2 linked regions of the Danio rerio genome follow. Each later gene encodes a partner of the first gene's protein in a complex. Links are inferred from orthologs where the notes say so. Each region holds a gene or a part of one and is shown in the gene's direction. Other genes may lie near its edges.

What was found.
Region 2: the proteins of tent5c (region 1) and bccip are in contact, whole or in part, in a cryo-EM structure (PDB 8EQB), measured with the Homo sapiens proteins. The link is inferred for Danio rerio from reciprocal best matches to the Homo sapiens genes TENT5C and BCCIP. Residues at the interface, in NP_060179.2 of Homo sapiens: Asp90, Asp92, Glu102, Gln106, Arg109, Lys135, Glu136, Val139, Gln140, Lys141, Leu142, Val143, Lys144, Val145, Cys146, Thr147, Asn164; in NP_510868.1 of Homo sapiens: Val57, Asn58, Ile59, Glu60, Phe61, Glu62, Ala63, Tyr64, Ser65, Arg136, Gln146, Cys153, Lys155, Ala204, Gly205.

Annotation. Positions count from the first base shown.
Region 1 is NC_133184.1:22,394,882-22,399,315, forward strand, and holds the start of tent5c (terminal nucleotidyltransferase 5C), read left to right. Parts: upstream 1-1,341; 5' UTR 1,342-1,465; intron 1,466-2,638; 5' UTR 2,639-2,650; coding exon 2,651-3,826; 3' UTR 3,827-4,434. UniProt on the Homo sapiens protein: Catalyzes the transfer of one adenosine molecule from an ATP to an mRNA poly(A) tail bearing a 3'-OH terminal group and enhances mRNA stability and gene expression.
Region 2 is NC_133187.1:47,448,850-47,453,458, reverse strand, and holds the start of bccip (protein BCCIP homolog), read left to right. Parts: upstream 1-1,675; 5' UTR 1,676-1,737; coding exon 1,738-1,869; intron 1,870-1,988; coding exon 1,989-2,063; intron 2,064-2,150; coding exon 2,151-2,231; intron 2,232-3,400; coding exon 3,401-3,490; intron 3,491-3,798; coding exon 3,799-3,986; exon of another isoform or gene 3,987-4,235; intron 4,236-4,348; exon of another isoform or gene 4,349-4,609. UniProt on the Homo sapiens protein: During interphase, required for microtubule organizing and anchoring activities. During mitosis, required for the organization and stabilization of the spindle pole.

The DNA of each region.
Region 1 (4,434 bases):
GGAAACGGGAGCACCCAGAGGAAACCCACACCAATATGAAGAGAACATGCAAACTCTGGGGCTCGAACCAGTGACATTCTTGCTGTGAGGCGACAGCACTATCTACTGCGCCACCGCATTGCCAAAGTATTTTTAATAAAGAAAAAAATTCTGAGAACCAAGTGAATGACATTCCTATACAGAACAACTCACAGAAATTAACCATCAGCCCATTTTAGAAATGTATGGGATGAAATACATTTGTTTAACTCTACTTTTGTTTTTATTTTAGAGACAGATAATGCACGTTTCTGGTAGAATGTCCTGTACATTCTAGTTACGTATAAAGTATGTCTTCAGAAACATAACTATATATAAAGGAAGTCTAATAACAGTATACAATCAAAGTGCATATAGTTGCCAGGGGTAAAAATAAACAAAGAGATTTAATAATAATAATAAAAACATTTAATTAACGTAATTAAATTTGTATAACTGATTTCATTACCTTTTTTCAGGTCACGTGTGATGTCACTTTTTTTTAAAAACGAAAAAAATGTTACATAAGTAACAGGGAATACATAAAACATTAATTTGTGCTTATATTGAGTGACCTGAAAACAATTTAAACATATTCATTGTATATCTAGTAACAAATGATACAAGGGCTAAGGGAAAAAAAAAAATATATATATATATATATATATATATATAATTTATTTATTTTTTTTTCTCAGTTGTTTTAGCAGCTTTCTTATTTTGCGATGGGCAGACAGATTCATAATAAAGTTTCAAGTCAAGACAAAATGTTCTAAAATTAGGCAAACACTGAATAACTGCGTTTGTGAAGATGGAATAAGCCACAAAGAGTACATTTTAACCTATTGTCCATTTCCTTACAATCTGACTCCCAAATCCAAAACAATAAATTTATTGTCTTAAAATCAAAAAGTTTTTGTAAGCTGAGAAGACAAGCCAAGATATTTCTGTCTGATATCATTACCTATCTGGACGTCAGATGGTCGACATGTGCCTGTGGTCGCCTGGCAACATAAAAGCCTATTCAGCCAATCACAAGCTTCTCCTGGCGCATTGATACCAGCAAATAGTATAGTATGTTTTTAAATTTCTCATGGAGCTTTAGTTCATAAATGTCTTCTATCACGGCGCTTGACGTTGGAGTTCAGGTAAGTGCAATGCAGAGAGATTAGTTAAGATTTAATGATTCAAATAAAACAAAAATGCTGTGTGTGATCCACGTGTATATGACAAGGCTTGGGGGGAAATAGTGCGCGGTGGAGTTGCGGATGGTCAGGTTATTTTGTAGGCAGTTATAAGAGAGAGCGCGTGTGTGTCTTCAGAAGTGAAGCTCTGGCGTTTGATGACTGAACAGATGGATGGAGGTGCTGCTGCTAAAACTTATTTGACATCCACTACTTTGTGCCAACCACGTTGCTGAGCACTTCAGGTGGATTTCCCGAGAACAGTAGGTTGCATTTATTTCAAGAGTTTTTCTCGATTTAAGCGAGTTGAGTCTATGTGGTTTGGATGCAGTCGCGAGGTTAACTTTAAAGTTTGTTTTTCCGATTAAATCCATTAACGTTAGAATTTTTGGTGTGTTTGTCCCGAACGCTGACTGAGACTCTTTCGACCCCTCACGTGCACTTTTTCAAACGCTGCTCTTTCTCTTCTTCGCCATGCTGCGATGGTTCGGTTGTTCATTGAGGTTAAGTTAATTTAATATTCACACATTCGGACTTTCTCCTTAATAATGCAATTTCAGAAAAGTACTGCTAATCATACATTTTAAAAATCATATTAGCAGCAAATAAACAATATAGGGAGCTGTCAGCGAACGAACGAGCGAATGTTAAATAACTTTACCTCAATCGTTTGTTCGACTAAAATTAGATCGATTTATTGTATTTAAAATATAGAGCGACTGTTTTTAATTACTTCCAATGAATGTACTTGTGTTGCAAGTATGTATGCTGAGGTGTCTTGTGTCTTAAAGTCTTGTTGTTTTTATCCAAATTTGGAACGCGTCCAAAATGATACTTTTTTGTATGATTATGTAAAACAATTGCGAATAAATTAACTTTCTAACACATTCCTGAAATGATAGAGAATTTCTCAATGGGAACTAAAAGCGGACCGTTTAGTATCAAACTTTTCCTTTAATATTATTTGATTTGTATAGTTGACAGCCTCATTTTTTAAAAATTGTTGTGAATGTTTTTACACTTTTTGTTGTTGTTGTTTAGTTATAAAACTTAATTTAATGTGAATTTACATTTTTCTTTTGTGCATTTCTTTTATCTCTGTGCTTTTCTATTTTGGGCTTGTTTTACTTGATAAACTAATTGAGCAGCAGCTGAGTGTTACCCCGTAAATGCTTCAGTTGATGTTTGGAGTTTGTTTGGCCTTCTGGAAAGCCTGAGAATCAGTGTTAGCTTTTCTGTTATACGAGAGCAGGGAACCTGTTGGACAGTGTGTCTATATGTGTTCCTTATGTACCATGTGTTTAATTTTAATTTCAGGCTCGTTATTCAAGTTAAATATTAAAATGCAAATCTTTTCAAAGATTTAGTTTTTTTTCCCCTTTTATTTAAAAAAAAAATGGACTCAGTGAAATTTTTGCCCTTGTATTTTATCTCAGGAAACTGCATAGATGGCAAACATGGCCTCAGCCTCAACCTCATCCAGCAATGAAAGTGAGTCACAAAGTGTGCTTACCTGGGAGCAAGTGAGCCGCTTGAACGATGTGCTGACAGAGGCCGTGCCGGTTCATGGACGTGGCAACTTTCCCACCCTCGAGGTCCGGCTGAAGGATATTGTACAGATAGTGAGAAATCGGCTGGAGCTGAGAGGCATTATGGTCAAAGATGTGCGTCTGAACGGCTCTACAGCCAGCCACGTGCTGGTTCAGGACATTGGTTGGAGCTACAAAGACCTGGACGTCATCTTCAGGGTAGACCTTCCTCGGGAAGAGGAGTTCCAGCTCATCAAAGATGTGGTTCTGAGCACTTTGTTGGACTTTCTACCAGAGGGGGTGAATAAGGAGAAGATCACCCCGATGACACTGAAAGAGGCCTATGTCCAGAAGCTGGTCAAAGTTTACACTGATCAGGACCGCTGGTCCCTCATCTCACTGTCCAACAACAATGGCCGCAATGTAGAACTAAAGTTTGTGGACTCAATCCGGAGACAGTTTGAGTTCAGTGTGGACTCCTTCCAGATTATTTTGGACTCTGTTCTGTCCTACTATGACTTGTCAGAAAATCCCATGTCTCAGCATTTCCACCCTACGGTGGTAGGGGAGAGCATGTATGGTGACTTTGTTGAGGCTCTGGGCCACCTCACGAATAAGACCATTGCCACCAAACGCCCAGAGGAAATCCGTGGTGGTGGTTTACTCAAATACTGCAACCTCCTGGTGAGAGAATTCAAGCCTACAGATCCAGATGAATTTAAGGCTCTGGAACGCTACATGTGCTCCCGTTTCTTCATTGACTTTCCCGACATTGTTGAACAACAGCGCAAACTGGAGGCTTATCTTCAAAGCCACTTTATTGGTGAGGAGAGGAACAAGTACAACTACCTCATGATCCTGCGGCGGGTGGTGAACGAGAGCACTGTGTGTCTCATGGGACACGAGAGACGGCAGACGCTGAACCTCATCTCACTGACTGCGTTCAGGGTGCTCGCTGAGCAGAACGCTATACCTGATGTGTCCAGCGTCACCTGCTACTACCAGCCGGCTCCGTATGTCAAAGACCTGAACTTCAACAACTACTATGTGGCCTCTTGTAACCAGTCCATTCCAACTTGGTTGCCGTGTAACTAAGACACAAAGGATGCTTATTTGAAGACTAAATCCATCAGTTGGTCAGAACGCCAGATAATTGGCCATAAGGGAAGTTTCCCTCTGTAGACATAAAGGATGTTTAAAATATCAAAGTTTTTTTTTCTTTTTTTCTTTTCTTTTTAATTCCTTCTCTGCAGAGGTGCCAAGACATTTCTAATTCAAAGTGATATATTTTAGGGATTTGAATTAATTTTTTTCCCTTTTTTTACTTTAATAAGAAGTTTCAGATTTGTTTGTTGCTCTCATCTGTCCCTTATCTGAGAGATTTATTTTCCATATTGAAGAGAAACAATTCCCATAGTGCCTTATTAGATTCTAACCCCAAAAGTAAAGCGTATTGGGACAAATTTATATATTTCCTGTGTGTTACAAAATATAAATGCCAAAAAAATATAATAATGTTCTTAGAAATTTGGAGAAAAAAAATACAAAAAAAAAATTAGAAAGAAAAAGATGAAAAATGTGAGCACAGGTGAAATTGGTATTCTAGGACTCGAGTTATCAGGAGCTTTTATTTGTTTTTTTGGTACACTGGTGGGCAGCTAAAGTTTTCGTTTCCATTAATAGAAATGTGAGCTGAATCATGT
Region 2 (4,609 bases), on another chromosome or scaffold:
CTCCGTCACGGCGAGTTGCGGTCAGCTGTGGACTAAAGCATTTTAAATATATTGAATGTATATTTTTACATTTTTGGTGCTGTGTATTATTCTGGGATGCAGTAGAATATGGAGACAGATGAATATAATTAAAGACAGATGCGGGACATCAGAACAGAAAGTGAGCCCGGCTAGGACAACAACACACTACTCTGACTAAAGACTCTGCTAAACTCCTAGTGGTGCTAAGCTTCTTATTATCCAAGAACGCCATCTAGCGGTCACATAACCTAACAGCATGTTACTTACTACCCCACTACATCATGCCCGTAGCCGGGGGACATCCCTAATCCTAACCTAACATGAACCCAATTTGTACCTTACTTACTATTAATAAACAGCTAGTTGGTTTATTAAGCTAGTAGTGTTAGTTTCAGTGTTTTTTAATACTGTGAATTGTGACCTAAACTAAAATGTTGCCAAATATAAACTGGTAAAAAGTATATTATTCATTCATTCATTCATTTTCTTGTCGGCTTAGTCCCTTTATTAATCCGGGATCGCCACAGCGGAGTGAACCGCCAACTTATCCAGCAAGGTTTTACACAGCGGATGCCCTTCCAGCCGCAACCCATCTCTGGGAAAGAATTCATTATTATTGTATTATTATTTTTATTATTATTATTATTATTTTTATTATTATTATGTTTAATTTTTTTTTATTGAAATGGCCAAATTGTGACAGAAAAGTTAAATGTGCTGGCCAGTTTGTTTTTGTCTAATAAATGACAGTAGGCTGCAGTTTTTTTTTACTTTAAAACTTTAACAGATTGCTATTTTTTTCTAATGATATATGATGTAATAAATTTGTATTTTAATAATTAGTCTTGTTTTATTTTTTCTTTATAGCAAGTTTTTATGAAATATTTTTTGTACATCAAAAAGTGTGGTTATGATGACATCTGACTAGCTAATCCAGCAACAACAACAAAAAAAAAATCACTAAAATGCAGTATTTAAATCTTATAGTTAAATAGAAACTGAGGCGTATAACTGCAAAAAAAAGAAAAAAAGAACCACCCCTTTCACCAGGCAAGAAATGGATGAATGAATGAATGAATGAATGAATGAATGAACGAACGAACGAACGAACGAACGAACGAACGAACGAATGAATGAATGAATGAATGAATGAATGAATGAATGAATGAATGAATGAATGAATGAATGAATGAATGGACAGATAGGCCGATAACGAATAGACTAATAGGTAGACGCATTAAAGTTACTAGTGGAATATATTATCTTGACTTGTAAGACAAAAACTTAAGTAAGAGAGAAACTTATTTATTTCATCGAAGGTTTGTTCTAACAGGTACCATCGACGTTTGTTTTGAAAATTACGTAATATATAATTCATTTCTGAAGTAACTCCAACATCACGACAATATTTATCTTTCTTTATTAACCAAAATTACTATCTGGCACTTAAATCAATACAATTGTTTATTCAAAAGTAATAAATCATTTTCATGCAGCACCCCTCTGTAAAAAAATATGGTATCTTCTGCTTCTTAAGATCGTGAGCTGGAAAAGACGCCATTTTGGATCTTGAGTATGGCGTGTTTGCGCCCGCGACTTTGTGTCTACAATGAGCCAAAATGTCCGATTAGACTCCTCAGTTTCCTAGCATGTAGACGACACAAAACGTCGCCGTGCGCGAGCTCGTGTCTGTTTCCTGTACACTAGTGAAGCAGCATGGCTTCATCTGCCAAAAGGCGTGCTGTTGAAACTGGACAAAATCCACAAGACAGCGACGAAAGCTCGGACGAGGGTCTGGAAGACTCTGGCGACGACGACAGCGAAAATTCAGAAGAAGAAGTAAACGAGGTAAGTTCCTATCCGAACTGTTTTTGCGAGCAGAAATGTCGTGATGTGCAGGCCATGCTGGCTCTGTCTGAAAAACACGTTGTTTTATGACCAACACACGTGTTTTGGTCTGCATTTAGGAGGTTATTGTGGACTTCGAAGCACACACGATCTCTGACAACGACTTTCACGGCATCAAAACCCTTCTTCAACAGGTAACGTCGGTTTATTGCAGATTATGTGGTGATTATATGAGTGTTAATTTATGAATGCAGACATAAATGTGTGTTGTTGTTTTGCAGCTGTTTCTGAAGTGTCACGTGAACACTTCTGACCTCACTGACATCATCATCCAGCAGAACCACATCGGCAGTGTCATCAGGGTAATACACTTTCATTTACCCCCCAAAATAGCTTAAATTTTACTGGTCATAACTGTGTATTTCATTCAGTTTAGATTTATTTTATGTCCATGTAGCGTACTTTTTAAATTAAGAGCCAAAAAGAAAAGAAGTAGGTACAATAATGTAAATAACGGAAAAATAAAATAGTAATGGAACAAACAGAAGTTGTAAATGGGGAAAAAGGGATTAAAATGATCAAACATATTTATATAAACACAAATAATACATCTTACTAGAGAAAATATGTACTTTGTATATTCACTACATACATTTTTTAACAAGCATGTTCACTATAATGTAGTAAAGGTTTACTATTTGCATCTGTTTTTAAGGCCTGACCAGGGGCGGACTGGGACAAAAATTCAGCCCTGGCACTGTAGCCACATCAGCCCACATTACCACACCAGCATAGCCCCACCCACGGACACGCACATTCACTATTTATTTTGATGTACAGATGGTGAAATAATGACATTCTTGCCATATTTTGATTGCGTCCGGGTAACCTCGGATTGGGTCAGCCCATCTTGAAATCAGGCGGCCGTCATAATTGGTCCAAATGCTTAACATTTATTATTATTATAATTATTAACATCATCATCATAATATCACATCTAGCAAGAGATAAAAGCTGCCTCCACGTAAAAACAATACATTTAAATAAAAACTGAACGACCCACATTTAAAAATTGGTCCAGCCCTTCTGGCATTTGCCAGAATTGCCAGATGGCCAGTCCGCCCCTGGGCCTGACAGTGTTCAAAGTATTCAGGCAAAGAAAATTTAGCATTTGTAACATTTGATTATTGAAATTATGAACCTGAACACTCCCTGAAATCCCTAAAACAGTTTATTTCACTTTTATTTTTACTTTTAATTTATTTTTTGACATTTTTATGGATAATTCACTTCCCTACAGAATCATTTCACATATTCTAAACTAATAAATTATTTCTAAATAGCAGTTTTCAAAACCGCCCAATCTGGCAACACTGAATATTGATGTTGAGCAATATACCGTGCAGCTCTACTGTAAATGTTTAATATATTTAAAACTCATTTGTATAATATTCACTAACAGTAATAATGAACATCTGTAGTTCTGCTCTGATATTGCTGTATTATAGTTTATGTGTGTGTTTTGCTCCAGCAAGCTGAAGTACCGGAGGACAGTGATGATGAGGGCGACCCGGACGAGGTGTTTGGCTTCATCAGTATGGTGAACCTCACCGAGAGACAGGTCAGACAATCATAACACACACACACACACACACTCTACTTTCTGTAGGATTGATCTGAGTTACAACAATCCCACTGGAGTTTTTAGAATATCATATTTTGCATGAGTATTTCGCATTTCACAGTGTAGTGGCTGTTAAAGTCATGCAAAATGATATTCAAGCTAAAACAAAGTTAATATTAAGTTATTTGAACATATTAAAGCATGTGGAATATAAAAGGTCATGCAAATTCAGTTTTTTAATTGGTGAGTATCTTGGAAAATTTGACATTTGGCTTAAAGTGTGATTATTATTGTTTGTTTATCAGGGTGTGGAGTGTCTGGAGAAGCTGAAGGACATGATACTGGATCAGTGTGTGAAGTGCAGCACTCCGGATGTGCAGGAGCGGATGGAGAATCTCCTGCAGGGTAACACTCAGTCTGTAGGGCTCCTGCTGAGCGAGAGATTCGTCAACGTCCCGCCGCAGATCGCTCTGCCCCTGCACAAACAACTGCAGTAAGAGTTCCCAATAGAGGGAGCGCACACACCTGCTTCACTATTACCACATATCAGTGCAGATTTCATTTTAGTTTGATATATTTTATGATTTCAAAAGTGTATATATATATGTATATCTTCTTCTTTGGCCTTAGTCCCGTATGGTTGCGGGGTCGGCTCTTTGGAACAAGTCCATATGATAACGACTTTTTTTTTTTTTTTTACACATTCCGGCCGGCCTGTCACCCTCATACACTACGTAATATGGTATACCACAGGATCTAAAAATCGCAACGGTGTCAGTTTCAATACCTTTACGCCCCATTCACACGGAGCGTCAGTGTCAATGCTTCCTAATCACTTTGAATGGGTGACGTCAGGCGTTGCCGAATTGCATTGTGGATCTGTCGGCGCCACTTCCGAGGTGCTGCTCGCTGCAGAAGTTGGGACTAGCTCAACTTTTCAAGCGCCGACGAAAGCGTCAGCCAATCATATCGCTGTAATCAAATACACCAGCAAAACATTGACCTATTGCTGACTGAATTTCATTGGCTGACGCTGCTATGACGATCGCTTTAGCCCCAGCTTCACAAACGCCTTCAGCCAAGCGTTGACCCTGAAGCCCCGTGTGAATAGGGTGT